Linked DNA regions of Rhinolophus ferrumequinum. The protein of the gene in region 1 interacts with the protein of each later gene in a pairwise test. Links are inferred from orthologs where the notes say so. Each region holds a gene or a part of one and is shown in the gene's direction. Other genes may lie near its edges. The genes, in order: PEX19, PEX16, PEX11B and PEX10.

The links.
Region 2: the proteins of PEX19 (region 1) and PEX16 interact in binary tests that used the Homo sapiens proteins (3 or more experiments, as listed by UniProt). The link is inferred for Rhinolophus ferrumequinum from reciprocal best matches to the Homo sapiens genes PEX19 and PEX16.
Region 3: the proteins of PEX19 (region 1) and PEX11B interact in binary tests that used the Homo sapiens proteins (3 or more experiments, as listed by UniProt). The link is inferred for Rhinolophus ferrumequinum from reciprocal best matches to the Homo sapiens genes PEX19 and PEX11B.
Region 4: the proteins of PEX19 (region 1) and PEX10 interact in a two-hybrid assay, tested with the Homo sapiens proteins (4 studies listed by BioGRID and IntAct, with this or other methods). The link is inferred for Rhinolophus ferrumequinum from reciprocal best matches to the Homo sapiens genes PEX19 and PEX10.

What each region holds. Positions count from the first base shown.
Region 1 is NC_046305.1:28,254,690-28,262,540, forward strand, and holds the start of PEX19 (peroxisomal biogenesis factor 19), read left to right. Parts: upstream 1-4,843; 5' UTR 4,844-4,856; coding exon of another isoform or gene 4,857-4,926; intron 4,927-5,407; 5' UTR 5,408-5,466; coding exon 5,467-5,638; intron 5,639-6,365; coding exon 6,366-6,475; intron 6,476-6,891; coding exon 6,892-7,057; intron 7,058-7,486; coding exon 7,487-7,572; intron 7,573-7,790; coding exon 7,791-7,851. Other genes in the region: COPA (coatomer subunit alpha), read left to right, coding at 61-255, 526-585. UniProt on the Homo sapiens protein: Necessary for early peroxisomal biogenesis. Acts both as a cytosolic chaperone and as an import receptor for peroxisomal membrane proteins (PMPs).
Region 2 is NC_046294.1:14,936,190-14,943,564, forward strand, and holds the start of PEX16 (peroxisomal biogenesis factor 16), read left to right. Parts: upstream 1-4,365; 5' UTR 4,366-4,679; coding exon 4,680-4,794; intron 4,795-5,000; coding exon 5,001-5,036; intron 5,037-5,851; coding exon 5,852-5,928; intron 5,929-6,275; coding exon 6,276-6,409; intron 6,410-6,545; coding exon 6,546-6,646; intron 6,647-7,375. Other genes in the region: xylosyl- and glucuronyltransferase LARGE2, read right to left, coding at 1-195. UniProt on the Homo sapiens protein: Required for peroxisome membrane biogenesis. May play a role in early stages of peroxisome assembly. Can recruit other peroxisomal proteins, such as PEX3 and PMP34, to de novo peroxisomes derived from the endoplasmic reticulum (ER).
Region 3 is NC_046305.1:50,154,114-50,161,696, reverse strand, and holds the start of PEX11B (peroxisomal membrane protein 11B), read left to right. Parts: upstream 1-4,579; 5' UTR 4,580-7,216; coding exon 7,217-7,361; intron 7,362-7,583. Other genes in the region: RBM8A (RNA-binding protein 8A), read left to right, coding at 293-359, 633-692, 819-896, 1,070-1,206, 1,579-1,715, 1,826-1,871. UniProt on the Homo sapiens protein: Involved in peroxisomal proliferation. May regulate peroxisome division by recruiting the dynamin-related GTPase DNM1L to the peroxisomal membrane. Promotes membrane protrusion and elongation on the peroxisomal surface.
Region 4 is NC_046292.1:1,175,629-1,182,777, reverse strand, and holds the start of PEX10 (peroxisome biogenesis factor 10), read left to right. Parts: upstream 1-4,143; 5' UTR 4,144-4,185; coding exon 4,186-4,297; intron 4,298-4,885; coding exon 4,886-4,966; intron 4,967-5,433; coding exon 5,434-5,837; intron 5,838-6,971; coding exon 6,972-7,147; intron 7,148-7,149.

The sequences.
Region 1 (7,851 bases):
GAGTTGTGGTGTGCAGCTTTCAGTCCTCTTAAATAAATATTCCTTCCCTCCTATCTTTAGACCCGCAAAATCCTGTCTGCCTGTGAGAAGAACCCCACAGATGTCTACCAGCTCAATTATGACATGCACAACCCTTTCGATATCTGTGCTGCATCTTATCGGCCCATCTACCGTGGAAAGCCAGTGGAGAAATGTCCACTCAGTGGAGCCTGCTATTGCCCGGAGTTCAAGGGTCAAATCTGCAGGGTCACTACAGTAAGTACTGTCCTTGAGAAATGCATCCAGAATATTGAGGGAAGGTGAACGAGAAAGAAGCATGTTGGTCCTTTTTCTCCTCTATTTGCCCCTAGCTCCTGGAGACAGTGATACTGGAGAAAGCTAGAACTTCTCCCCATTGCTCTTTACCAATCAGTAACAAACAATAACAAATCACTCTACTGTGCTCATTGAGGAGTGGAGGGAGTAAGCTTTCTAGGCTTCTCACCCTCACAAACCCGTAAATTTTTCTTGTTTCCTCTTCTACAGGTGACAGAGATTGGCAAAGATGTGATTGGTTTAAGGATTAGTCCTCTGCAGTTTCGCTAAGGCCCTCTTTGTGTGTAAAGGGTCAATCACCATACCATCCGCCTCCCACTGCCCCAGAGAATTAGTCTCTGTGTCCTTGTAACTCCCTGTTCCTTAACTACCTTTCAAATTGACATTTAGCTCTCCCTACCCTAAAATGTAGTGTCCTTTTCTCTTCTTCTGTGGCTAATCAAATGTCTAAACTTGACTTTTCTTTTTTTTTTTTTTTGCCTTTGAGGACCTTTCATTCTTTCAAGGTCACTACTATAGTTGCAGTCACAATTGCAGTCACAGTTGAACTTGCCTTCCCAGCTTAGCTCTTTCAAGAAACAAATGAAAACTTAGTGGTGAACATTTGTTTAGTAAATTCCTTCAATATTTATCTTTTTCCTCTTCACCACCTTTTTTCCTTTTTTGCTAGAAAGGAATGGGATATAATAAATAAGATAGCATCTTTTGCTCAATCACAGCAAACTCTTAGCCATCCCCCATTTTAAACTCCCAGGCAGGTACCCTCTGTGTGCCCAGAAACTTAAAGTCTAAGAAGAAACTTTGGCTTTTCAAAAACGCACATCCCTTTTTATTGATTTGTTCTTTACAACCATTGTTCTTATTTTTTGTTTCTCACACTAAATAAATTTCTACAAGAATTTTATGGCTTGCTATTTGTTTCCTGGATACGCTCATGTTCCTGCTTACTCCATGCAGCTGCCCCACCAAAGCAGATGTCTTTCCTTCGATAATTATTTCTAATTACAAAATAATAAATACCCGTTGTTAAATTTTTTTTCCCATAGGATATATTAAACTGCTATGAGAATGGTAGAAAGTAAGTGGCTCCCTCATTTCATCATTGAACTGCATCCTTCTATCTATTGCTGATTATACCAATATTTATTGAGCACCTGTAACTGTTCTGGATGTTTTATATATCAGATTAATTAGTATTAAACACGTTGTATTTATTACAATTATTATATTAGCAATACAGTATTTTGCTTGTTATGTGCTAAGACTATACAGTGACATGCTGTGCCTTTGATTAAAGTATGTACTTTTTCATTTTAAATTCATGTTTTCAATAAACAGTACACTCATATGATTCAAAAATCAGTAAATGTAAAAAGCTATTTTGTGACGTCTTCCTCCCATCCCTTTCCTCAGCCACATAGTTCCTATCACCTTCCCCAAAACAAGAAACCACTGTTGTTAGCTTCCTTATCCTTCCAGAGATTTATGTATATACAAACAGATAGGAATATGTTTCTCCCTATCCCCCTGTTATACATAAATGGAAGCAGGCTATTTAAAGATTTTGCACCTTATTAATGTTTTCACTTAACATATTTTAGGGATTTTTTTTTCATCTCATTATATTAGAGAGCTTCACTCTTTTTTACTTCTTTGCATAGTGTACCATGTATTATTTACTACGATTTATGTAAGTTGCCTTCTTGATGGATATTTGAGTTATTTCCAGTCTATCTCTGGCTATTATAACAAGGCTGCAATGAATAACTTGAACACACATTATACAGGTGGGGGATAAACTAGAAATGGAATTCCTACGTCAAAGAGCACAGGCCTTTATTTTTCTTTTTAGCTTTAAGAGTCGCTTTCTAAACATAGTATCCCCAAGCTGAGCCTGTTTTTTCAAAAATTTGCATACTACTTTGATAACATTTTCTCAAGTTATAAGCATTCTTTATATATATATAAATTTTTTTATTTTTATTGTTTATTGTTTTAACTTTTAATGGGGGAATACTGGGGAACAGTGTGTTTCTCCAGGGCTTATCAGCTCCAAGTCGTCGTCCTTCAGTCTAGTGGAGGGCACAGCTCAGCTCCAAGTCCAGTCACTGTTTTCAATCTTTAGTTACAGGGGGCGCAGCCCACCATCCCATGTGGGAATTGAACCAGCAACCTTATTGTTAAGAGCTCACACTCTAACCAATTGAGCCATCCGGCCGCCCCTCTGGCAGCTCAGCGACCGCTCGTTGCCTTCAATCTAGTTGTGGAGGGCGCAGCTCTCTGGCCAATGTGGGAATTGAACTGGCAACCCTGTTGTTCAGAGCACGCGCTCTAACCAACTGAGCCATCTGGCCGCCCTGCATTCTTTCTGTAAACAAGCAAATTGGTGATACATTTTGGCAAAAAAATTTTTTTCTATGTTTAAAAATTAAATTACAAAATTAACTTCACATATAAATATAAACATTCTGAACTCAGGGATATGAAAAAAGTGTGCAATCTGTGCCTCTTGAAGCTTAGGGAATTGGGGAAACAACATGGATATATGTGAAATAATTGTGAATACCGGGCAAGAATTTGAAGTCGGTAAATAAACAGTGGAAAGCCATTATATCCTTAAGCGAGAGAGTGATATAAAAAAAAATGCTGTAAATTACTTTTTTGCAACAGTGTTCACTATACATTAGAAAGGCAGAAGGTGAGTAAATATGAGATGAAGTGTTAGGAGTATCAGTAGTAAAAACAAAAGCAGAAGCAAGTTTAAGATACAAAGCAAAGAACCGTGCTTGTTTAGAACTCCATCTTAATCTTCTCAATTACCATCTAGTATTTTCCTTAACATGATTATATAGCCACATTAATGAAAAGCCAATAGAAATGCCTGTTATATTTTTAAACATGCACTTGATATACCATGCTTCCCTGAAAATAAGACCTAACTGGAAAATCAGCTCTAATGTATCTTTTGGAACAAAAATTAATATAAGACCCGGTCTTATTTTACTATAAGACCGGGTCTTATATTAATTTTTGTTCCAAAAGACATTAGAGCTGATTGCCCAGCGAGGTCTTATTTTCGGGGAAACACGGTAGTTATAGTTATATTAGGCATACACATGTAAGCAGTTTGGAATTGAATGAGCAAGTTAGCCTGTAATAAATTGTTACAAGTGTTGATTATAGAACTATTGAAAAGTACCTTGGAGTCCCAACTGTATTGTTACATACTTGTAATCTGAGGTCTAAATTGGTGAAGGGTTTTGAACAGAGTAATTTATTGACAGAGTTGGGTCTCCCAGTTCAGAATGTGTTCTCCCAAGTCACACTACTTGTGCTTAGAAGAATACAGTAGTTTTTGCACAGGTATGATTTTACAAGTCTGTGCCCTATCTGTAAAGGAAAGAAAACGTACCTAATCTGGTGCTTGACACAGTATTCAAGTGTTTGGAAAGCTAAGGATGAAAGTCATGAAGTGACTCTTTTCATTCTGATGTGATTTCTCCCTTTTAAACTTTATGGCACTTTACCCTGAGCTTTTTAAAGACACTTTCCTTGTGCCATTCTTACTGTGTGTATGTGTAGTCCTACCTCCAGCCTAATCCCCAGTCAGCAAGGGCTGATCCTGATTTATCTCTATCTTCCACTGTGAGCTGCAACAGGTCTTAAACAACAGCAGATGTCCTGTAAGTGCTAAAATAGATTTGTGTCTGAAGCAGTTTATGTATTATGACAGATCTGAATAGGAGAACAATCTCAGAGGAGGAAAGGGATGTCTAGAGTTGTCTCTATGTGAGCCTCTCCAACTTCACTCCATTGGAGGTTGCGTTCTGTACAGAGAAAAGGAGATGGATCAGGGAAGGCAGGTCTATTACTACTACATTCAAATTGCCCTCTTGTTCAGTCCAAGGTCCCAGAGTCTCATTTCCTGCCTGAATTGATTCAACCAACATTGAGTCGTAACAAGTCCTGGCCCTGTGTCCTTTAGTCTAACAGTTCTAATGGAGAATAGGAAAGGAGAGATGTCCATTAGGTCCCACAGAGAAACGTGTTTCATAAGGATCTGGGAGAACAAAGGATGGCCAATGAATGCCTACTAAGTTTTAGGCCCTAGCCTAGGAGCTGAGAATACAGCATTGAAGACAACAGGACGAAAATCCTTGCCATCACGGTGTTGAAATTCTAGGGGGGAGGGGTGGAACTGGGAAGGGGAGACAATAAGCAATATAAGTAAAATATATATTATGTCAGAAAGAGTTAAGTACTGAAAAAAATAATGGAAGAGCTACTTCTCTGGGTAATCAGGGAAACTGAATGAAAGGAAGCCAGGCCAGTAAGAAACCTAGCAAAAGATAACAGTAAGTTTCTATGTTAGTTCAATGATTCCTGGCGTAAGGGGAAAAAACCCACCCCAAATCGAGTTTCCTGTCCCTTTGGGGCGGCTCCGTACTGCCCCAAATTAGTATTGGTCGCAGAGGCGGAAAGGGTGGAGCGCGGGGGGCCTAGCGGAATCCCGCCTCCTACGGCGAGTCAGAGGTAGCAAGATGGCCGCCGCGGAGGAGGACTGTGCGGTCAGCGCCGAAGCGGACCGGGAATTGGAAGAGCTTCTGGAAAGTAAGAGTCCATAATGGAAAGAACCGAGGAGGGCGGGTATGAGAACCCATTCAAGGAGTTAAGTGAGCCTGAGATATTTGGGGCGGAGCGGGGAAGGCTGTCCAAAGATTGGACGGGTGCGGAGGGTCTGACTGCGATCCCGATTTCTGGGTCCCCCTCATCTTCCTCCGCGGCGGGAGCTGCGGCCTTCACGTTGGGCCCCTGAGAGCCCAGACCGTTGATCTCTCTGCCAGAGGGGAAACAGTAACCCAGGGGACTGCGTTTGACGATCCAGTTCCAAACCCTCCTTCCCTTTAGTAAGTTCTTGAAGTCGAACTTCATTCGGTCCTCGGTGGGCAGCAAACCAGACACTCGCAGATTGCTTACATTAACTCTTAACAAGCCCGTAGCTCACTCTGCTATGCACTGCCTTATCCTTAACATAAAAGACACTTTCCTGCTCCCAGTCCTTTCACCTTTGTCTCACCAGGCCCCTTTTCAGTTATTTCATCAGGTCAAAGCTGAAGCCGACTCCCTTGCCATTATTTTGAAAAATAGAGGATGAGAAGGTCTCAAGGAAGACAGTTCACCCTACTGAAAGAGGGTGGATGTTCTTTTCTTCCTGAACCCTGTCCTCCACTCCTCTTGGTTTCTTGCCCAGAGTGGAGCCAGTGCCCTTCCCCTAGGCCTGGCAAGCAGAAGGTAGTGAGGACACAGGCTTTTCAGGGCAGAGGTGAATATTTTTTTGTCTCTTGCCCAGTCACAGAGATGTGGGCAGGTGGAAGGACAACAGAAACAGTGAATAAGTGATTCAGCAACAGTGCCAAGTGATTCTGTGTGAATTATCTGCTCACAGTTATCTGCAGAGATGGGGCCAGAGGGAACTAGCTCTAGGAGCTTTGCCCAGGGAGGCCTAAGTTGAAGGATAAGAAAAGAGAGTTTAATGCCCTTCCCTGGAGTGCAGTATGGAGTCCCTCAGTTTCTAGTTGTATCAGGATCCATGAGGAGCTGGGTGGGACATTTGTGGCTTTTGCTTTCTTGCAGAAGATTATTCCTTTCAGGGATCCAGAGTGAGTTCAGGGGGTTAAGGACATTTGTGTTCTCTGTGCCTGTTAGATATTTGTATAAGATTTCTAGGGAATCATTAGAGTGTGGCAGGGAAGGCACTGTGTAGATGGAGATGTCTCTGCAGAACTTCTTTTAACCCTCTCCTCCCAGCTCTGAGAGAGATGCCTGTTCCTTAAGATGTTTCTTCCCCTTTGATCATAATAAATTAGGTAATGGGGAGGTAAGTGGGAGGCTTACTGAGGGGAGGGCCAGGAAAGGGACACTCAGAAAAAGAAAAATTTAGGAACGTGGGCAGTTTGAAAAATTGTTCTCTCAGTGCTTTACCCAGAAACCCCTCATTCCTTCATCCTCATCCATCCCCAAAACTCATACCATGTCTCTTGTCTCTGAAGGTGCTCTTGATGATTTCGATAAGGCCAAACCCTCCCCAGCACCCCCTCCTACCACTACAGCCCCTGATGCTTCAGGGACCCAGAAGAGATCGCCAGGAGACACTGCCAAAGTATAAATTCTACCCATTTAAGGGAGGGGAGGGGATGGCATGCAACTCTGAGCAGAGGTGGGGCAGGCCCCAGTGGGCCAGAGGGGAGTGAGGGGAGGGTGCCTTGGCCTCACACTGCTGAGTGCTCTTGCAGGCCTCAGTCCTTGTGAAACAGGGAATTGACTTGAGGTGGAGTTTAGAGATCTCAAGGGGATTCCTTAAGAAAGGAAATTTAAATGATTGGTTTGGGAATACCACTCCATACTGACAGATACCTTCTTGCTGTCCTTATTAAGAGAGGTCATTAGAATGTTCAGTGAAAGTGGGTAGGAAGAAGACACTGCATTTCTCAGAGCCTCTGCCTGTGGTTTCTGTCAGAAACCAGGTGCAGTGCAGTGCCAAGTAAGAGATGCATTTTGGCCACTCCTCCCCTGCAGGATGCCCTCTTCGCCTCCCAAGAGAAGTTTTTCCAGGAACTTTTCGACAGCGAGCTGGCTTCCCAAGCCACTGCAGAGTTCGAGAAGGCAATGAAGGAGTTGGCTGAGGAAGAGCCCCACCTGGTGGAACAGTTCCAAAAGCTCTCAGAGGCTGCTGGGAGAGTGGGTGAGGGGGGTGCCTGACAACTGGAAATATCTGAACAAATCTCTTCTTAAGTCATCGTTGCTTGAAAACCCCAAAATTCTTAGTGAAGTTGATAGTCATGATACCACTTCTATGGGGGTAGGGCAAGGAGATGGGAGGAAGGATGGGCACGCTGCTTAATGAAAGGGGTGAAATAAGTGGAAAGTAATAGGAAAGATTATTGAAAGCTGGTCATGTAAATGGTCGCAGTGTTTTCGAAGGTGTCATCATGGAGAACAAACTGACATGTAGTCCATGTAGATTGGTGAAAATGACTATAAAGATAACTATAAAGATTTGGAGTAATCGTGACTCACTAGTAAATGCTCCATGTCCAAGCTGGTAACCAGGTCAGCCTAGGTAAGCAAACAGTTAAAATCCTTAATGACCTTGGTTCTTTTGATCTCTTAGGCAGTGATGCGACTTCCCAACAAGAATTCACTTCTTGCCTAAAGGAGACACTAAGTGGACTAGCCAAAAATGCCACTGATCTGCAGGTGAGGGGGGGTGGGCAGGAATGGAACCACAAGGGGCCCACTCCTAGACACTTCACCAGCAGATTCTCAAAGACAGAGTTTCTTGGGTATCATCTCAAGTCTGTCTCTGCCTCACTGTTTTGCTATAGGCAAGTTTAAATAGTTCTTTCCCACCTGAAAGGGTAGTAAGCATCCCAAGAAGGCAATGTACTTGCTCATCTCTCTCCTGTCCTTTTTAGAACTCAGGCATGTCAGAAGAGGAGTTGACCAAAGCCATGGAAGGGTTGGGCATGGATGAAG
Region 2 (7,375 bases), on another chromosome or scaffold:
GTGGCCCGGGTGGTCCACCGACGGGTCTCCGTCGGGGGGGACACGTGGCGTTAGCGCGCATGGGAAGGATCCCGGCCCCCTCTGCTCGCGGCGCTCACAGGCCAGGTCTCCGCCGAACAGGAAGAATCCGATCAGAATCAGCAGCAGCAGCAGAGCGGCAGCCCCCAGCGCCCGGGGGCGCCCTCGGGGCAGCATGGCCGCCTGCCGGGGCGCTCAAGGAGGGGTGCGACCGCGGGCTGCGGACTCCATCGCGGGCCCTACGGACAGGGGAGGGAGATAGGAGGGTCAGCCTTGGGCGGCCGGGCCCGACGGCCGCCGGGTCCCCTCCCGCGCCGAGTCGCCACCTCACCTGCTCCAGCGCTTGGAGACACGGACCTTACTCTTCCAGAAAAAGGCCAGGGTGTGGGGAAAGGGGTGGAGGCGCAGGCCAGCCCCGTCCAAGCAGGAGCCAGCCCCGCCCCCAACCTGGGCTCAGGTTTCACCTCCGCTTGGCTGAGCCCGAAAGGCGGGGAGACCCCCGGGGGCCTGGCCCCGCCCCTGCCACGGTATTTGACTGCCCCCCTGCCCAGGCCCGCGAGCAAGCCGGGAAACCTTCAGGATGGGTAGTGGAAGCGGGGTCATGACATCCAGGAAGGCCCAGTCCCCGCTACCTGCTCTGAGCCCATCCCCCTCTTGGCTGCTCTGGGGCCCCATCTCCTCCCCTTAACCTCCCTCCGTGGGAGGGGCCGTGACCCCGGGCCCAGGATGAAAAGGACTGCCGGAGTAAGAAGGAGGAGGCTGGAATGCTGCTCCGGAGGTCGGGGACACCTGCTCAGCGGGCAGGAGGCGGGGCCGGCCTGCCGAGACTTTCCCTGGAAAAGGAGCACCTGAGCCCTGCTTTCCTCACTGCATTCTCTCTCTCTCTCTCTCTCTCTCTCTCTCTCTCTCTCTCTCTCTCTCTCTCTCTCTCTCTCTCCCCAGGTGGTTCAGCGTGGTCCGGCGCAGCCCGAGCTCGGCTGGGACAAAGCGGGCTTGTGAGAGTTGCCTCCTGCCCAGGAACTGGCGAGAGACCTCACTGGCCTGGGCCGCCTGGGTAGGGCCCGGGATCCCCACCCTTGCCTAGACCGTCGAGATTGTGCCTGGTGAGGGCCTGGCTCTCTTCCTCTAGCCCCACCCCCACCCCCCACTCCCGCACCCACAGCAGGCAACGACATGGCTCAGCCCTGGAGGGGGTGGGAGGCGCTCTGGACCGTGAACGACAGCCACGGTTGATTGAGCGCATGCATGTAATCCGTGCCAGGCCCTGTGCCTTGGTTCCATAAAGCCTCAGTTAACCCTCACGACGGTCCTATAACATCGGCATTATTCTTCCCCAGAGAATTGAAGTAACCTGTTAGAATCCCCTGGAGCTTATTCCCCAGGCTCTACCTGGCATACATTTTCCTGCTGCTCCTCCCTAAGGGTTTCCTGCCCCAGGACTTGCCTTTGATGTTCTTCTGCCTGGATTCTACCAGATTCTCACAAGGCCAGCTCCTCCTTTCGTATCCCTAGGTTTGTTTTCTTCCTAGCACTTTTCTAGTAATTTGACTTTGTTGACTTGTTTATAGCTTGTCGCCGCGTGGAAGGTGACTGCTCACAGTATTGGGTCTCCAGCACCCAATCAGGGCCTGGCACACAGCCAGTGCTCAGTCAGTATGTGCTGAGAGTGGATAGGACTCACTGGGCCTTGCTGTGACCTGGAAAGGGGCTAGGCTGTGTCCTTTAGTCCTCTATAGCCTCACTATAAAATGTGAGGGCCTGAGATGCCCCAACCCCTCAAAAAGCTGTGACAAAGCAGCCCAGTCTGAGCCCCCTAAGTCTCCTGAGAGGCCAGGATGCCTTTCTCTGGGAGATGGAGATCTGCAAGGAAGGTTGGGCTTTGGGCCTTTGGAGGCCAGGGGCAATTGTTGCCAGGGAGACCTATGGCAGCTCCTTGTATATCTAGGAATTGAGAGGAGATGAGGGGATGCAAGGGCCACCCAGGTGCCTGGAGCTTTGAGCCCCCCTGACACTCATCTCTAGCCTGGAGCTGGAGTGGGAGTGGGTGGAATCCCCCTGCAAGAGCCTCAGCAGAGACTATCTGTGCGGGTTAAATGTGATGGAGCAGGTGGGCCACACAGTCAGGGCTGGCCAGGAAGTTTGTGGGAGAGGCTGGGTCTGCAGAGTGACTGTGGTCACTCACAGTACTGGCCCCAACTCTTGCTCAATCTTACCACTTGGGAAATTGAGTTGCTGAGATGCCTGCTGGGCCTCCAAGAGGTTCTTCTGGGCTGTGGAGGGGAAAGGGAGACATGTCTGAGCATATGAAAGGGTGCTAAGCCTGAGACCTGGTTTGGCCCAGCTCTGCCGAAGGACTTTGCTGTGTAACCTTGAACCAGTCAGGCCCCCTCTCTGGGCCTCTGCGTCTTCATCTGTACTTGTTGGACTGGTCTAGCTCTCTTCCCCTGTCATTCATGGCAGAGTTAAGCAGGGGAGATCCGGACCATCATGCCCAGAGGCCCTTCCAGCCTAGCCAAGTGACCAAGTCCAGGCATGGGCCCAGCAGGGAGAAGCTGCCCTAGGCGCCTTCTGCACACACAGCCACTCTTTGTCTCTGGGACCTAATCAGGGATCTGGAGAGGAAATTCAGGGAGCCTTGCTGCTGCCAGCCTGGCTGGCCTTATGATCCCTTTCCAGCCCTGGAGGCAGGAAAGACAGAAACAGACTCCAGGCCAAACACCCCTCATATTCTGTCTAGGGGAGGCTGCTCCTCTATCCTCCATGCCTCTCTCCTCCCCAGAAGCACAAGACCACCAGCCCTGGGAATGCCAAAGAAACGGCACACTCTCCCTCCTTACTCTCTCCACAGCCTCAGAGGGAGGCACTGGAGGGATATCCACTAGTGAGGTTCAGGGAACAAGTTCATTAAGATGATGGGGTGCAGGGAGTAAGGGAGAAAGAGCCCCACACCGAAGTTCCTGAGCTCTGGTCTTAATCCCAGTTGCTAACTTGATTTATGACCAAATGGCCTCAACGTGTCTTTGCTCTTGCTAGGCTGTGGGCAGGAGAGAGAGCACTGCCATGTAAGACCTGTATTGTGATCCTTTTGGCCAATGCCATGCTGTGTGATCTGGGACAAGTCCTTTCCCCTCCTTGAGCCTCTAATTTCCCCATCTGTGAAAAGGAGCTCATAGCAACCTAGCAAGGTTGCTAAGAAGAGTTGAGTTGAGTGAGCCTGGCACCCAGGAGGTGGTGAGAAATAATGCTGCTGGTGCCCACGCCCACCTTCTGTGTTCTCCAAGCCCTTTGCCTTTCCGGAGGCCCCTGGACACATCTACCCGATTCTTCATTCCTTGGCCTGAGTAGGGCCCACCGGATATGGAAGAAAACTAAACTGGAGAGGGAGCTGGGGGGAGGGAGTGTCAGGAAGGGTTGTGGCTTCCCGGTGAGGTGTGTTGCATAAAACGCCTAGATTCTGTCAGGATTCGAATCTTGACTGGGTTCTTAAGCGGATCCTTCCTTCATTTGGAGATAATATCTGGTAGAGGGGATTAGGTAAAATAATGTTTCGCTGTTCTCGGTACCACACATCTGCCAGCACAGTCCGGATGGGCGAGGCCCCGCCCCTTTCCCCACAACCAATCAGCGACTACCTCCCAGGGGCGTCAGTTCCCTCCACCTCTGGCCACACCTCTCCCGCAGCCGCCCCTTCCAGGGAAGCTGCCTCGTTTGAGAAGGGATCCCCAGGAGTCTCCTCATCCCTTGGGGAACAGCAAGACTGAGGGGTGCATCCGAAGGCCGTAAAGCGCTTTAAGATTGATTCCGAGTCTAAGGACCAAGTCTGCCCTCAAACCACTTTACAGATGGGGAGGGGAAACCTGAGGCCCAGAGAAGGGAATCTCCCGACCACGGTCACCACGAGCCGAGAGCAGAAGGCCGGGCCAGGGTTTTCTCCACGGAGGTGGGCGTGCAGGTGCGCGCTCTTGGGGGACACAGTCCTTGCGGGAGCTGGGGCCGAAGTCGGGGCACTAATGGTGCTGGCCGGGGGATCGAGCCTGCGTTGGATGCTGGAATCCTTGCTGCCTCAGTTTCCCCAGCACTACCTCTGGTTGGGCACGGGAGATGAGGCAGTTGGCCACACGCGCGCCTGCCAAGACACAGTCCAACTCTCCTAAGACTTTCTCGGCTCCTCCCCAAGTCTGATGGAGGCTCCTTTCCGCGCGCTACCTCCCAGCCCTTTAAAATCCGGTCCCGTTCGAGCCTCTCGGCGTTCTATTAGAAAGACTCTAGGCTACAAGTGCCTTCTCTGGAATGAACGGCTCAGACTGCCGCGGGAGCTTTCCTGGAGCTATAACTGCGCAGGCGCAAGGGCAGCCAACCCGGAAGGCGGAAAAGCCGGGTCCCGAACAGTGTGGATCGGGTCGGGGGCGGAGATGACCTGAAGGAGTAGGGAGGGCGGGATTAAGCCCGCAGTTGCTAAGCGCTACCCTAGTGGGAGGGGATTTAAGAAATAGGGTGATGGGGGGTTCAATGGCCCTTCACGTCACCGTCCAACTGGCCCGCGGAAGTTAAGCAACCGAGAGGCGGGCTTAGGGCCGGAAGCAGGAAGGAGGGCGCAGGAAGCAGGGCGCCGCAACCGCTCGTGCTGTCTGTCGGTCAGTGGGTCTGTCGGTCTCGAAGGCATGATGGAGAAGCTGAGGCTCCTGGGCCTCCGCTACCAGGAGTACGTGACTCGTCACCCGGCTGCCACCGCCCAGCTGGAGACGGCAGTGCGGGGCCTCAGTTACCTGCTGGCAGGTGCCACCCAGACCTTTGATCAATCCCTTCGGGGCTCTGACCTCTGACCCCACTTGCCCCCTTCCCTGCGGCGTCAGGGTAGTGATCGCTGTGCTTGAGAAGTTCCTTCCAGGTTCCCGTAGGGCGTAGGGAGGGGACATCCTGGGACCCGAAGCCGCAGGGTGAGGCAACGCTCACCGACGCCTCCTTCTGTGCCTTCTCCTCAGGTCGTTTCGCCGATTCGCACGAGCTGTCAGAGCTGGGTGAGCCGGGCTCGGGTGGGTGGAGGGTGGGAGAGTCCAGGAAGGCTTCCCAGAGGGGTGACCACCCCAGCTCGCAGTCCTAGGTTTCCTGTTAGATCATCCTGTGCTGTGACTGAATGGGACAAAGGTCCAGCGTCCACTGTCCTGGGCCCTCTGTGTCCCCATAGTTGAGAAACAAATCTGGGGACCTTGGCGGGTCAGGCAGCTGGGCCACATGCCTTCCCTGCCTTTGCCCAGTTAATTCTCCCTACAGCCATATAAGGTGGGTACTCTTGTCCTCGGTGTCTAGTTAAGGAACAGCAGTTCAGTGAGGTTAGGAGGTAGCCACTGATGACCCTAGAACCACGATTCAAATCCACATCTCCCGGGTTGCAGGATCCCCATACTGTAACTGCCTCTGTAGTGTTTGCCCAGCGAGACCTGGAAGTGACGGTCCTGAAAGGACCAGCTGGGTTTTGAAAGGTGGAGTAGACTTTCAGGTGCAGGATGCAGAGAGAGCAGGGCCAGGAGGTGAGGCCACCCATCTGTGGCTATTTGGAGCACAGTGGACAGTTCTGGGCAGCTGGAGGGCCACTGCTATGTCAGCAGGGCAGTAGCTGGTTTGTCACAGGTCAAACCATCTTGTTTTAGCCACCCACACGAGATCACACTGCGGAGTGTGGAGCGGAGGAAGTGGACAGGGAGGTGGGTTGGTTTCCACATAGTGTGTGGGTGGCTGAGCACAGCAGGTGATAGGTGATGCATGTAGCTCTGGGGAGAAGGGGAGGAGGTGCGGCTGCGGGGCCAGCCTCTGACGGCCACACTCTGCCCCTCAGTGTACTCCGCCTCTAACCTGCTTGTGCTGCTCAATGATGGGATCCTACGGAAGGAGCTTCGGAAAAAGTTGCCTGTGGTGAGAATTTTGCCAGGAACTGAGGGCGGGAAGCATAGGGACTTGGGAACAAAATAGTAAGAACCAGCCTGTGTGTGTAGCACGTTATGATTTCATAGAGTGTGAGACATGCCTGCATCCATCTGAGCCTCTAGTCACCTCCTTAGGTGGTGCCAAGGTGTCAGTGTCCCCATCTCGGATGAAAAGACTTGAGTCTCAGAGCCGTGGAGTAGCCTGTCCCAGATGGAGAACTCAGGCCAACATACTTGGAAAGGGGAAAATCCACCTCTACTGTCAGAGGGGTCCCCTAGGGGAAGGGCCTGTGACAAAGGGGTGCCTCCTGACCTCTTGGCCTGGGGTTCTTACAGTCGCTGACCCAGCAGAAGCTGCTGACATGGCTGAGCGTGCTGGAGTGCGTGGAGGTGTTCATGGAGATGGGAGCCGCCAAGGTGTGGGGCGAAGTGGGCCGCTGGCTCGTCATTGCCCTCATCCAGCTGGCCAAGTATGTGGGACTGTGGCGGGCAGTCCCTGGGGGAGGGGTAACTGAGGCCAGCTGTACAGATGGGGTTCAGGAGAGCACCTCTGGCCCCTGGCCCGCTAGCCACCTTGCCCCCAGCCCTTCCATACTCCCAATCCAGGGCGGTACTGCGAATGTTCCTGCTCATCTGGTTCAAGGCTGGCCTCCAGACCTCACCCCCCATCGTTCCGCTGGACAGGGAGACCCAGGCACAGCCCCCGGGTAAGCTGCTTGCCTGCTCTGGAGTGGAACGGAGCCGGGGACTCATTGGTGGATTTAGAGCTGACCAAATGAATATTGTCCATTTATGGAACATATCTATCCCCATCAACTCATTTGTTCTCATCACCCTGTATTTTACAGAGAAGAAAGATTAGGTTGGGGCAGAATTGGAACTTGAACTCAGGACTTCTGATGTCAGAGTCCTCATTCTTTTTTGTGGGCTGCACAAAGAAGGGACAGAGCGTCAGTAGGAGAGATGGGTCCTGCCAGCCTCATCTCTGGCTATGGTTTTTTTTTTTCTTTCTCCCGTTCTCTTGTCTCCCCCCACCGTCCCCGACTCCGGTTCAAGCCATTGTTTCTCAGTCTAGTTGTAGGACACAGCTCCCTGGCCCATGCTGGTATTATGAGCCTTGCGTCCCCCTGGCTGAGGCAGTCAGTTGCCGGTCATCGGTCACCCACTCACGGCAGCTCTCGCCGGCTGCCATCTCCTCACGATGGCTGCTGGCCACTCATGCTGGCCGCCGGCTGCTTGTGGCAGCACATGGTAACCCATGGCACCACACAACAGCCCACAGCTGCTCACGCTTGCTTCCAGCCACTCAGGCTGGCCACCAGCTGCTCCTTGCAGCACATGGTAGCCCACAGCAGCTCACGCCGACCTCTGGCTGCTTGCAGCAGCCCAGCTCCAGAGAGAGCCATTGTTCACAATCTTAGCTGTAGAGGGCGCAG
Region 3 (7,583 bases), about 22 Mb from region 1:
TTTCTCCAAGGCAGCCTTAAATAGGAGGAAGCCACCATCTCCGCCTACCCCTAGCTTGTCTCTCACGGCAACACTGTTTCCAGCTCACGACCTGCTCAAAATGGCTACAGGAACACTTCCGGCTCTTCCCGGACTAAGCCCGCCTCCAGGACGTATTTTCACCGCACCGATGGGCGGGACTTAGAGTAGGCTTTTGATTGGTTATCTTGACTGGCGACCTTTCCCCTCCGCGACAGTTTCCCGAGATGCTTAGTTCCTGAGCGGCACAGACGAGAATTAGAACGAAGGCAAGATGGCGGATGTGCTGGATCTTCACGAGGCCGGGGGCGAAGATTTCGCCATGGATGAGGATGGGGACGGTGAGGACGGTGGAGGCGGCTGCGGGAAGCGGGGAAGGTGCGACAGAAGGGCGTACTAGGAAAACAATTTCCATTCTTCCCGGCAGGGAGGGTGGGAGGCGGGGAACCGGGTTTCGGTTGGAGTGGAGACTCCGCCCCCTTCGGGGCAGAACCTGGGGGCGGGACTGGGAAGGGACTGGGATGGGAGGCGATGGGGGTCCGCTTTCAGATGTTGTCTTGGGAGAGAGACTATTGTGTTGTTTTTGTTACTTACTCTTTACTTATGGGGCGCAGAGAGCATCCACAAACTGAAGGAAAAAGCGAAGAAACGGAAGGGCCGCGGCTTTGGCTCCGGTGAGTGTTTGTGGGGAAAGGGGGGTCTAGAACGGCTAGAGCTACGGGTTTTGGAGTCCCCATTCTGATTCCTGGGGAACGGTGGGAGAAGGGATTTCCGGTGATCTCGTGTATGTTTCTTATTAGAAGAGGGGTCTCGAGCGCGGATGCGTGAGGATTATGACAGCGTGGAGCAGGATGGCGATGAACCTGGACCACAACGCTGTAAGTAACATGGAGCCTGTAGGTGTCTGTGTAGGAATGAGGGACTAATAAAGTAAAACCAGTAGGAAAGGGGTCAGAGATAGCTTAACCAGTCTCTGGAGTTCACACTCCTGTGATCTTGCTTGAAGTTTTTCTCTCATGGGCTCAAACAACCTCCCTCCTTTCCCCAACAGCTGTTGAAGGCTGGATTCTCTTTGTCACTGGAGTCCATGAAGAAGCCACGGAAGAAGACATCCATGACAAATTTGCAGAATATGGGGAAATAAAAAATATCCACCTCAACCTGGACAGGCGTACAGGATACCTGAAGGTATCCTAAGTTACACTCCATTGCCTCCCATGTTTGGTGTGGTTGGCCAAGAGCAAAGCTGAAATAAAATATCATTGGAAATTGATTTTGTTAGGAAAGAAACAGACAACATATTGTAAATACAGTAGGGATATACCGGGGTGCCAAAAACATGTATACACATGACTTGTATTCATCTTTTGTTATCGGTATATATTGAGTATTACAATTTTAACACAGTTTTTCCTTTCTTAAGATGTATATATATATTTTTTGGCACCCTCTGATATATATTCATTGTTTAAAGTTTATACACATGGACTGTCCTACTTGAGTAGAAAACAGCTCGGTGGAATAGGAGGGTTTTGATACCTGCCTTTCCACTTGCCCTAGGGCTATACTCTAGTTGAGTATGAAACATACAAGGAGGCCCAGGCTGCTATGGAAGGACTCAATGGCCAGGATTTGATGGGACAGCCAATCAGCGTGGACTGGTGTTTTGTTCGGGGTCCACCCAAGAGCAAGAGGAGGTAAAGTGGAGAGGGCACACACCGTCTTGGGGAAGGGAATATGAGTGAAATGGAATAAGGACATTGTATTGTGTCCCTCTGACGGACCTCCCTCCCTTCATTTTCCCTAGAGGTGGCCGAAGACGCAGCAGGAGTCCAGACCGGAGGCGTCGCTGACAGGTCCTGTGTTGTCCGGGTGTTCTCTCCAGAGATTCCAGCCTTGGAGACATAGGGCTGGGCTGGAACTCACTGTTTGTATTTAATCTCTTCCCTTATTGCTTGGTGGTTCTTGTGAGTTACAAATAAATGTCCCGTTCTTTTTTTCTACATTTAAAATTACTTTTCTGTTCTAACATTGGAAGCTCTGAAGTGCTATTTCCAACAAGGTAGTATGGGTCACTGTAAAGATACTTCTCCCAGTGACTGAATTCTGTGTGAATATCTACATTACACATAGTCTCAAGTCTCAAAGGGTCTAAGTAGAGACACTGCTTAGTATTTATTTTCCTTGGAAGTAAGAATAGGAAGAGCAGTGAGATGTTCTCATGATGTTAAAGAATAATTATTCTGTCCCTATATACTCTGTCCGGAGCAAATGGATGTTATAGGAATGTTTCTTTCATTTCTGCTGCTGTTGCTGCCACGTTTGTGTGTACTTCCATCTGTCTAAGGGTCTGAATGTCCCGTCGGGGAGTTCTTCCAGACCCTCCTTCCCTGGAGGAGTCTATGTTAAGTTCTTGGTGCCCTCTTCAGCATCCAAGCGCAAATGCCCCATGGAGGACAGAATCCAGAGCAGCATTGAGGACACCAAAGAGGAAAAGGATGTGGCTGAGGCCGGGAGGCACTGCAGTCAGCATGGCAGGAGAGATCCAGCAGGTAATAAGATGTCCAGCAGAGGCCAAAGGTCAGCAAACCAAGCAGGGCCAGTCTTGGGGCCCACAGACGAATGCGGGGCCGATTGTTGAGACAGAGTGGCAGAGGGCATATTCACCTGACCTGAGTATAGGATGAATTAACGGATGGGCAGAGATAGTGAGATGGAGCTCTTTCCCTGCAAGGAAGAGAATGCTGCAAACCCTCTTCCCCTTCCCAGTTTGGGACTGTGTGTTTCCCTCCCCCCCAAGATTATGACACATGCTAGAGAAAAGGTTTGATTGAGGTGCTGTGTTATATGAAGCTAGTAAGTCTACTTTAAGACTTGATGGTGTCCCAAGAGTAAAGGAGAATACTGATCACCTCCTTAACCCTTGACCAGCTAACTCAAGTTCAGAGGATGGCTAGAGGCTGGTTGGAATTGAAAGCATTTAGTAAAATTGTGTGTAGCATCAGGTACTAGAAGTATGGTTAGGATCTCGATTTGACTTGATAAATAGCTATCATAAATGAGGCTAGCAGCAATAGTTCCAGGGTACGAATTTGGGCCTGGGGATTGTAGTCTCATCTTGGCTCCCCTTCCTTGTCTGGGGACTAGACACACTGAGGACATTGTGGCTGTAGCAGATGGTCGTGGCAGTCAATGGCAGCAGAAAGAGGCAGGAGAAGGTGAAGAGGTTATAGGTAGTCTCTTGCCGTTGAGCTTTGAAGTTGCCTTTGGTGACACACTGAGTGAAAGGGACTGGGCCCCTCAACCGGTGCTGTAGAACAGGAACAGCTGGAGTGGGCTTGAGGACTGTAAGAACTGGTTCCCCTTCCACCTCCTCCCAACCTACCCACCGGTGTCACACTGTTTCCTAATTCATCCTTGTATGTATGCAGAGCAATACAGAGTTACGGTTTGTCCGTGGTACCATACAGTTAGAAATGTATCTTGAAAATCTTAATCTCCTTAGGCTGTGGAGCTAACCATTAAGTTTGTTATATCCTGGGACTTAAAGAATCCTGCCTTCTCAAGTACTATTTGAAACATTGCCCTTATAAAAGGATAGCTTTACCACCTCACCAACATTTTTAGCTGATGTGATTTTCCTAATGTGTTTGTGACTAATTCTTTAGAAAAAAGAAACCTTGTATAAATTGGGTGCTGCTAAAATTTCAGGCCATTTTGCAGCCACTCTGAAATGACCTTTAGGAGGAGTATTAATGTACAAGAACTATAATGGTGAAACTGATAAATAATAAAATTTAACATTTTCCAAATGTTGTTGGCTGCCCCTCCCCTCTTTTGGTAAATTGCTGGGTTTTGGTTTGAATCAATAAAGTATTTTTCAGTTTTGAGCTTGGTTCAGGTAAAGTAGGTTGAGTCACTTAGTTTGATAAAAGGCAAGCTCTGTAGCTATCAGGTTCCTAGGTATTAGGTATTTGGAAAGTGATTTCAGCAGGCATGAGGGACTTTTAGGAAAGATGGTAAAATATCAGCCATAGACATGTGATTTTATGAAGTGCTTGGAGTTATGTTCGTGCTACTCGGAGCTACTTGGGGAATGGTCTTTCCTTTATCCCTATCTTGAGTTCTTATATTTCTAGGTCTTTTTGGTTTTTTTCTCTTGTTTTTGTGCACTATGCTGAGAAATATTTGACACATTGTGAGGAGGGGTTTAAAAATAGGCCAGGCTCCTAGACAGTTTGATGTATAGTCCTACTTCTGCCTCTTCTTTTCCCTGTTTTCTACACAATTGACCACCTATTATAGAAACCTTCCTTTCAACTATTTGATACTTGGAAACTTGAGCCTATAAAACTAATTTCTAATTAGCCCAGCACTCCCTCATCACACTAACAGCACACTTAAAATATTTTTTTTTGCTATATAACTGTTGCACCTAGACAGACAGTCCTTCAGGCCCTTCTAGGCTGATCTGGACTGTGAGTAACCCCTCTTTTCCATGTTCTCCCCAAATAAAGGTTTCCTTCAGGAAAAAAAAATTTTGACACTAATATTTTAAATACAACATATGGGCAATGCAGAATTTACACAAGAGGATACTAATTTGCAACTAAAAATATCACCTTTTGCACATGTATCATAATGTTACCACTAGTTTGCCATTGAAGCACATGGAAATTGCAGCTGTTAGGTTGTCAGTTGTCCAAACTGTAAGAAAGGATGAAATTCATTTCCTGTGTGATCTTGTGGTCCAGGAGTTTCAATGATTTAGCCAGTCACATAGCTAGTTAATGGTAGAACCTAGACTGAAAAATCACAGCAAAGTAAAACAAGCAAGCAGTGCAACAAAAACAGGCTTCTAACTCCCAGTCCCCACCTAAAATGTGCTTCATATAAATAATGCCTTTTGTACTTGAGGCAACAAGCTGCTTTTTAAAGTTTGGGATCGCAGAGGTCCTGTTTGCAACATACTTTTGGAAGATGTATGTCTTAGAACTATAGTCGGACTAACTTTTTGGTAGAATTCTAATAATGTAAGGATTTACGGATCACATTTTAAATCTGACTACAAGAATAATGCATTATCATTCGAGAGTTTGAAATTTTAGCCCCCTTCCAGACATAATCCTAATCTCGAGATGCTGCTCTACCCACCCCCCATGGTAGTAGTGGTTTTTGTTTTGCAGAAAATTCATATTTAGCTTTTTTCTAGATTCTAGTTCATTTTCATACTGCGATTTTATTAACTGGTACTCAGGTTCAGATGCTCCCTTTGTTTTTTTCCAGTTTTGACACCCAGTCCACAATAAAGCTGGAGTAAAAAATACAAATCTGATTATGTCCCTCTCTACTTTTTACTGTAGTATCTGTCCACTGCCGTCAGGGTAAAGTACAAGCTTAATATTTGTGATCTGACTTCCCCTCCAGGCTCATTACTCACCATTTTCTAGCCCTCAACTTTAGCTGCAACCACTCTTGAGATCCACTGCCCACCCTCCCTAGCATTCCCCCTGTTTTAACTTGTCTAACACCTTCGCGTATCTTTCAAGAATCAAATCTTAGCATCTTTGGGAAGCTTTTCCCGACTGTCCAAGAGTGGGTCAAACACCCCTCGTTACTTAGCTCCTTATGCTCACCTTTAGCATAAGACTTCACTGTACACTGTACTGTCCGGGTTTGTACTAAGTTGTCTCCTGCACTAGTCTACATTTCTCGAAGGCAGGACTTTGTTGCTCTATCTTTAATAGAGCACTTGAATGTACCTGGGGATGCTGCACATTATTTTTTAAATCATGAATGAATATACCACAAAATTTTCCCAAAGCCTCTGGCTTCACTGTCTTCTTTCTAGACCCCATATATGTTTCCTCCCTGCTCTAGAGTTTTGCTGCAACAATCTCCAGAGGAAGGATACAAAAAGGGGGAAGCGAAGTAAAAGCTGAAGGGAAGAAGCATAGATAAAGGGTACTGCTTTTAATTAAGACATAGGCTCTTAACAAGTTAACATGCAATGATCTTAACTAGCAAAAGAATTAGATGCTCCCCCCGACGATTAATGGCTGACCACTGCCAAGCACACCCTTTGTCTCCCTAGGCTCATGTTGCGTGCCCAAATTTATGTCCAGTTTAGCCCTGAGTCCAGACAAGCCACTCAACCTGGGGCAAAGCAAGCGGGAAACTAAGTCCCCTGGCCGCCCCCAGAAGTTTCCCTCCAGCTAAGCGAGGTCCAGGTGGGTGGAGTCGAGCCCAGTGACCACAGGCCCGGAAGCTGCAGCATACATGGCCGTTAGTTTCAGGAACACGAGTGTCTGACATGCGATGTTCCCCGCCAGTCACTGAACAGCGATATTCCGGGTGATATCTAGGGACATAACCACAAGAGTAAACCGGCAGCTGCCAAATGGGCAAACAGTCGCCCTACTGGAGAGAGGCGAAGCTGGCTGCATTGCGGCTGTCACACAGCACGGCCAGTTCCCTCCAGCGGAAGAACAAACAGCACAGCGGTCACTCCCACTCCGACCTTGGCCACAGCAGAGAAGATGGGCAGCTCTGAACCCTCCACCTCCACTCCTGATCCCGCCCAGGCCTCTCCCCCCCGGCACTGCCACCGCCAAAGTGGTGCCATTGCCTGTGGACATCGTGACCTGGAAGGAGAAGGGGGGATGAAGTGTGAGTTTGAAGAGATTAGCTCGGCCACTGATTGTTCACCCTCCTTTTTAGGATCTGGAGCTGGTTATCGCGAAATTCTTCCTAAAGCCTCTGTCGGGACTCTCCATCTGTATTCTGGAGGTCACCTAACCAACTGTCAGGGTTCTGCGGGGAGCCTCGTACTGTCTGGCACTGCCTCTACTTCCACAGGCTTGTGTAGCCCCCAAATCGCTGGACTCGACCGGAGCGGGCGGGCGCGCGCGAGCACGTTGGGGGTGTTCTGCTCGCACCCCCGCGGGTGGGCGGGGGAGCCCTGTGTCGGCGGGCGCGGCGGGATCACTACGGCGCCTTCTTGCCCCGCCCCCACCCCTGCAAGCCCCGCCCTGGGTCCAGAACATTTCAAAGACAATGTGCGGCCCGAGCATGCTTAGGAAATAAGGGACCCCCGGATGAGCCGGCCGACCGAGAGCACAAAAACACGCAGGCCCACCCGCCAGCGCTTCTCCCGAAATTCCGCTTCAGCGCCGTCTCCACCTGCTCTTGTCTGGCGATGTGTGTCCCTCGCGAGGCACCGTTGGGTCGTCCGGGAGGCGTGCCCAGGGGCGGGAGCCGGGCTGCGGAGCCTGCGCTGCTGCTGTCATGGACGCCTGGGTCCGCTTCAGTGCTCAGAGCCAGGCCCGGGACCGGCTGTGCAGGTGCGGCCCCACTAGGAGTGGGGGGAGGGCGGGCAAAGGCAGACCCTCGTGAGCGAGGTCAGGTCCCACTACGGGGGTCAGAAAGGGTCATCTCGGGCGACGGGGGCCCGGACAGACCGCGACGAGCTGATTGGAGCCGGCCGTGAGGAGATGATTCCTTTCTGCGCCCGGGAAAGATGGGGAAACTGAGGCACGAGTGGGCCAGCGGGAGGCCGCTCAGGG
Region 4 (7,149 bases), on another chromosome or scaffold:
TTGGAATCTGTCGTGCTTCTACAGACAGAAGCCCCTGGCCACCCTCCAAAAACTAACACAGAGGAGCTGAGGGAAAGCATTTCTCTGCTGTCAACTCCACAGCTGGGGGGCACCTGTCCCTGTTCCACCGGCTGCTGGGTGGGCACTCAGCCAACAAATGGGAAGTCCCCTTCCCCTCTGGTGGCGGCTTAGGCTGTGAACAGCCTGCCAACCTCGAGTCCATGTCTGCTGCTCTCATCCACAGAGTCTGGACTCGTACTGTCTTCATACTCGGGAAACAGGACACGCAGGACCAGCCAGGACCTAAGGCCGCTAGCCCTGTCCTCCGCAGACCCCCTCCCAGAGCAGGCTGCAGTTGGGGCTGAGGAGCGGACCCTCAGGCACAGATGGTCCCAGGGTGATGGCTGGGGGCCCTGGCCGTGAGGGTGCTGTGACCCCCAGCAAGAGCAGTTCCTGGGAGGCTGGAAAGAATGGAAGAGAGGACCTGGAGAGGGCAGCTCACCCCTTTGAGAAGCTGCCCCACTGTGGGCACAGTGGGGGGGAGGGGAAGAGGAAGGACAGGTCTTTGGAGCCCCTGATGGGGTGGGGAGCACTGTGGGTGCAGAGGTGCACACTCGGGGTGGCCTTGGACAGTAGGACGCCAGCCAGGGTGAGGGCCATTGGGCCCAGGGTGCTCCTCTGCCAGTGAAGTGGGACAGTGGGGGGCTGGGGGCCGGTGTGGAGAGTCAGGGGCTATTCAGCTGGGACCCCAGTGAGACGATGCAGGCCCGGGGTCGGCCGTGTTGGGACAACTGGGGCTGGAGGGGTTCTCCAGGGGACGAGGCCATGTGCGGTTCTCCAGGGGACGAGGCCGTGTGCACAGGGAGGCTGTAATGTAGGAAGACAGCAGCATATCAGCTGCCTCTTCTGCAGACGGGGAACAGGCTTCAGCAGGGAAACGCCCAGCGAGGCCACGGGGCAGGCTTGGCCCCGCACTGCCTGTCCTGCACTCTGCTCCCCTCCCCTGTGCTCCCCGCAGGCACCCGTTCTCCAGGCGCTGGGAGCAGCTCATGGCTGGCCCACCAGCCTCCAGCACATCCCAGAGCCTGGGGCCGGAGGCACAGAGCCAGGCCTCACCTGTGGTCTCCAGACCTGGAGCTAAAAGCACCTGTCTTCCGCCCCCTGGCCCTCCAGGAACCCAAGGTCCCGGCAGGTAAGGGCAAAACGTGACTAAAGAAGGTGGCAGGTCCAGAACCCACTGATCTGAGTACCTCCCTTGACTGCCTGAGCCCGAGGGTGAGCTCCCTGCCCTGCCCTGGTGGTCCCAGCAGGTGCCCAGGGCTGAGCAGGCTGCAGAGACGGCACCCATGCTGCCCACTACTGCTCACCCCTGCAGATGGGCCCAGGACGCCCCAGCCTTGACCCCAGGGCTGGGGTGGCCCGAGAGGTGCCCTTGGCGCCGTCTCGGCAAGAACCATAACAGGAGACTTCTGAAGTCCTGCTCCAGCGCCTCCTTCACCGAACTGCCTCCCAGGCTTCCTCGGAAGGTCCAGTCTGCCACTTGGTCCCTCCACCAGGGCCAGAGCCACCCCACCCCACCTCCACCCAGGTTCCTGTGCTGCGCCCCCTCCCTCAGACTGGGGCTCCCACTGTGAGACTGAGGGACCCCGGCCCAGGAGGGGTGCAGCAAGGGGCCCCTCAGGTGTAGGGGCAGGACAGGACTGGGAGAGGTCTCCAAGGACCCCGCCGGCCTCCGTGCCAGGAGCAGTTGCTTGGGAGATGGGGACACCTCTGCCTGTCCTCAGCACTGAGATGGGGGTTCAGAAGCCAGCCGGGACACGTTTCTGGTGAGCGTCTTCAATCGGAGACAGGAAGTGGCACGCTCGGGTCAAACGGCCCGGCAGGTGGAGGTCAGGGCCCCACGCGGGCTCTGCCTGAAGGCCGCGGGGCTGCTCGGAGGGGCCGGTCTGCCGGGACTCATGTGGGCACAGCCCGCGACGTCCAGAGGCTGGGGGTGACCAGTGCCCCCCTCTGGCAAGAGCCCTCGTCCCTACTCTCCAGCACATCCCAGAATTCTGGGACCCGACAGCACTACAGTACACAGGGCTCAGAGCTGTGGTCACCAGGTTGTGGTCACCAGGGGACATGGGCGCTGACTTATTGACAGGGTAGGCCTCCCGTTGGCCCCGCCCACCCTGACTTCCCTTTGAAACCCACCATCAGTCACATTACTCCCCTTGGCCGTGTCCCCACCTTTACACTGAGGCCCAGCGAGTGGTCACTCCGCCGCTCTGCCGTGGGTTCTGATCCCAGTTCACACTGTGGGGTGAAAATCACTCCCTAATCCCCTAAAATTCTCCCCAGCAACTTGATAGAGCAGATGGGCTGACGGCGCCCCCTGCTGGGCCTTTCTGGAATCTGACCCCCAAACTCGAATCATAGTTCAGCGAACTGCACAGCACCGTGAGAACACTGAGAAGATGTGAACCCCAGTGAACCCCAGGGCCCTCCTCCTCGAGAACAAGGCACTCGGCACATTGACTCTGGCCGTGCCCCACCCAGGCGTGAGGCTGTGTGGGTGAGAAAGGCTGGAAGATGCTTTCCCTGCGGGACCCTGCTAGTGAGTGGGCCCAGCTAGTGAGGAACAGCAGCCAGGGTGGTGCCCTGCCAGCCGTGACCCCGAGGAAGGGAACACAACCCCTTCCAAGGCCGACTCCGTGCCCGTGGACTCCATCCATCGGTGCAAACCCACAGGCCTGGGCTCCTTTGGGGCCAGGAAGGACCTGTGCGTTTCAGACCATCAGATGACAGTTGGCCAGAAAGTTGTGAGGGGCTCAGTGTCCCCTGTGGGCCACGTCTTCCCCCCGCCTACCCCCAAGGGTCCACCCAGGCTGCAGCAGAAGCAGCAGGCAGCCTTTATATCCAGGAAACGGGATACACAGGCAGGGGCACGACTCCCAAGGAGCATAGGGCAGACACTGCGAGAAGACCCAGGTCCTGCCCCCGCCCTCTGAGCAGGCCCTGCCTGCAGCCAGTGGGGCCCCACCAGCTCTGAAACCGTCTCCACCGCTGGGCCACTGCCTGGCTCTGTCACTGGGCTGGGCCAGCCTGGGGTCCTTCCCACAGCTGAGCGTCTGGAGATGGAAGATCAGAGCAGAGGTGAGGCCAAGAGCTGAGGCCTGTCCCGCCCCAGGCTCTCCTGGCCCAGGTCAGTGGGGCCTGTGGCTCCCCAGCCCCGGGGTTGGTCCCACCCACTTTCTCTCCTGCAAGCCCCATGGATCCAGGTGGCCAGGCACTCCCCTCAGTGCCAACAGGGCAGGGCCCTTCTCCTCTGTTGACAGGCTGGCCTGGGGCCACTCAAGTCTGTCTGGGGCGCCCCCTGCCCTCCCTCTGCCAGGTGGCTGTGAGGCACATTTGCAGACTTGGTGACCTGCTCCAGCCTGAAGCTCCCAACACAGGCTGCCTTCTCCCATTTTCTTTCCCCCAGGTCCCTCCCAAGCAGCGGCTCAAGTCCAGCTGTGGCCTCAGGCTGGGCAATGGACTCGCCCAGCTGTCCTCTCTGGTGTGTGGTCCTGGCAAGTCCCCCTAGGTCTCCCTGGGTTACTCCTTTGTGCCAGAGAGGATGGGAGGAGCGTGGGGTCTGCACTCCTGGAGCCTGGCGCAGGGCAGCCTGGTGGGTGAGTGGACGTGCCTGCCTTGTCCTGCCCCCATCCTGGGTCCCGGTGAGGTCCCTGATGATTAGAACACAAGGTGGGGTGACAAGTCTCCGTCCCCTGGGCTCTGAGCTGATCCAATGCCCTCCTTACCTTCCCGACCTCGGAGGCGGGAGGGCGGACGAGGCTTCAACCTCACGGAGGGTCAGCACCCACTTCTGGCTCTGACGCCCCTCGCAGGCCCGGGGGCTGGTCCCACGCTCCCCTCGCCACGAAGCAGCCGGATCAGCGTTCAGACCCGGAACCCCCATCGCGTCCTGAGCCCCCGGATCAGGCCCAGCCCTCCGTCCCGCCCTCCTCCTCCACAGCCTTCCCGCCCCGCCCCGCCCCGACAACCCCGGCCCCGCCCCGCCCCGCCCCGCCCCGCCCCGCCCCGCCTCGGCCCCGCCTCGGCCCCGCCTCGCGTGCCGTGACGCACAAGGTGTGCGCCGCACGCCGGGCCATCGTCATCAGGCACCGCCCGGTGGGCGTGGCCACCCGTGTCCCCGCGGCCATGGCTCCCGCGGCCGCCAGTCCCCCTGAGGTGGTCCGCGCTGCGCAGAAGGACGACTACTACCGCGGCGGGCTGCGGAGCGCGGCGGGCAGCGCCCTGCACAGCCTGGCGGGTGAGGCCGCGCGGGGCCGAGCGGGCGGAGTGCAGGTGGCCCAGGTGTGCGGGATGGCCCGGGGGGCGCCCACCCCCGCCCGTGGGTGAGCCGTGAGGACAGGCGGAGCGTCCGAGGGCGCTACCTGCCCTGAGTGACCGGCGCAGCTAGAACGATATGGCCCCGGGGGTGGTCCTGGGCGCCACGCCGCGAGGTGGACGGGGGCGCACCCAGACCCCGCCCGGCAGCTCCCCCGGGACCCCGGGGCCAGGCCACGCGCCACTAAGACCTGCGCCGAGGAAGCAGCGGGTGCCGCCAGGGCTGCGCCCCGACTCCGGGTCGGGGTGGGGCCAGGTGTGGGGAGAGCGGTGAGGGTGAGGGGCACGGGGTGGCTTCCCCGAGACTGCGCTGAAGCTCTGAGCTGGAGGGGAACGCGGTAGAACAAATGGTGTCTATGTTTACGTTACAAAATAATGTAGCAGAGAGGACAGCGTGGTTGAGGACAGTCTCAGCTTTGGGCCTTGGCAGCGGGAAGACGGGAGCATGTCACCAACCCTTCCCACCCCACCGGCCCCCACCCCACAACGATGGTGCTGCCTCTCTTCTCAGGTGCCAAGAAGTGGCTGGAGTGGAGGAAAGAGGTGGAGCTGCTGTCGGATGTTGCCTACTTCGGCCTCACCACACTTGCAGGTAGCACCCCTGTGGCACCTTCGGACCAGGGCCTCACAACGGCGTACAGCAAGCCCAGAGGGCAGGAGGCGAGCTGGCGGCAGAGCGAGGAGCTCCTGGAGGGGCTTCCCAGTGTCCCTGGAAGGGACAGCCTCAGGAGGAGAGGACCGGAGTCCCTCCCCTAGAGGGCAGGGCAGGCCAGGCCAGGCTGAGCTGCCCCCGGGGCCTCTGGAAGTTCTGACGTTCACCTGTCCTGTCTGTGTCCCTGGGGACCTTAGTCCTGGACCTTGCCCAGGATGCCGTTGAGACCGGTTCTCAGCGGCTGAACCCCGGGGCCCAAGAGGGGTCCCTGCACTGAGCCCTGTGGCAGGGCCTGGCATTCGTTAGAGGAAAGGCAGGGACCTAATGGAGTGCGAGACCCACTGCAGAGAGAAGGAGCGTGCTGGCGCCCCACCTCAGCCTCTCACACGGGTGTCCCTCACCTTCAGGCTACCAGACGCTCGGGGAGGAGTACGTTGGGGTCGTGCAGGTGGACCCATCCCGGAGCCGCGTGCCGTCGAGGCTGCGCCGTGGTGTGCTGGTCGCGCTGCACAGCGTCCTGCCCTACGTGCTGGACAAGGCCCTGCTGCACCTGGAGCACGAGCTGCAGGCTGAGGGCGGCGCCCGGCCCTCGCAGGGCAGCTTGGCTCCCGGCGTGCGTGGCCGGTCGGGGACGAGGCGCTGGCTGCACCGGCGGGTGGCCACGCTGACGGAGCAGCAGAGAAGGGTCATCCTGCGGGCCGTGCTGGCGTTCAGGTGGGGCCTGGGCTGCCTCCAGCGGCTCCACGTCGCCTGGTTCTACGTCCATGGCGCCTTCTACCACCTGGCCAAGCGGCTCACGGGTGTCACCTATGTAAGTGCGGATACCACCCACACTGCTCCATTCGGGTTTGTCCGCAAAGAGGTGGCTCTTCAGGGCCTCTGGGCTCACAGAGCTGCCGGCTGGGGCCACAGTTCTCAACCGGGCTTCGTTAGGTCACCTTTTGCTGAAAGACCTAAGGAAGTCATTTCCACAAAGCCTGCAGATAGGCTCCTACCCTGTCTCCGCTGATGCCCTTGCTTCCGGATTCACCCAGAAAGCCTCCCTCAGGGCCCCACCTGCCAGAGCGTCCCCAGGTTGGCTCTCCTGGGTCACTTTCAGCATCGCGCTCCCTGTAAGAAAGGCCCACCACACCCCTTCCTTGACCTTCCCGGGCAGCGCCGTCCTGGGCACCTGCACCTCCCTTCTCTTGGTCCTGTGTCGGTCCTCAGCGTGCTCACACACAGCGCTGACGGCTCGTCACCCTCGGTGTGTCTTAGAGCATTTGCTGAGCTGGAACCACGGGCTCCACCCAGTGGGCTGTTCCCCCTCCTGGGCCATCCAGGGCTGCCACGGGCTCTTCTGTACGTGGGCACCCAGGGCCTGGCCATCTAGCTGCCCCCATTCCCAGCCAAGGGAAGGGAGACAGCAAGTGGAGAGCAACCAACTTCTCAAGGATGTGGCCAGAAGCTGCACGCATCACTAGCTGCAGGAGAGGCTGGAACAGTGTCACCTGGGTAGCATAGGTGCCTCTGAAAAGCGGGGAGCTTCTGTTTCTCCAACAGAGGAGCTGGTTGGCAGCGTCTGCCACGTGGGCTTCTTCTGCCCTGCAGGGAGCTCCTCAGGCCGCTTCCTTTCCTCTGAGAGGTGGGGCCCTGGATGTCTCCCCACCCTGTCCTCACCTACGGCCCCAGTGGACTCAGCATAAGCTCTGTGCACCTCTTCCTGGCTCAGCACTTGGCTGCTGTCGGGAGTGAGGCCTGCACAGCATCCCTCAACTGCCCACCCACGTCGTGTCCAGGCCCCCCTCACTCAGCTGGGGGCCCCATGGTCATTCTCTGTCCCCGTGGGCCAAGAGGACAGTTTGGCCTCATTGGATGGGGCACCCAAGTGCTGGGGAAAGCCTGGTTGTCTGCACAGTCTTTGTGCCAGCTGATCACGTGTCTGTGCCCTCGGCGTCCTTGACAGCTCCACACCCGCCGCCCACCTGCAGAGGACCCGTGGGCTCACGCGAGCTACCGGCTGCTGGGGTTCATCTCCCTGCTGCACCTGGCACTGACCGTGGGGCTGCAGCTCTACAGTCTGCGGCAGAGACACCGTGCCCGGCGGGAGTGGAAGCTGCACCGCAGCCTGTCTCAGCGCAGGT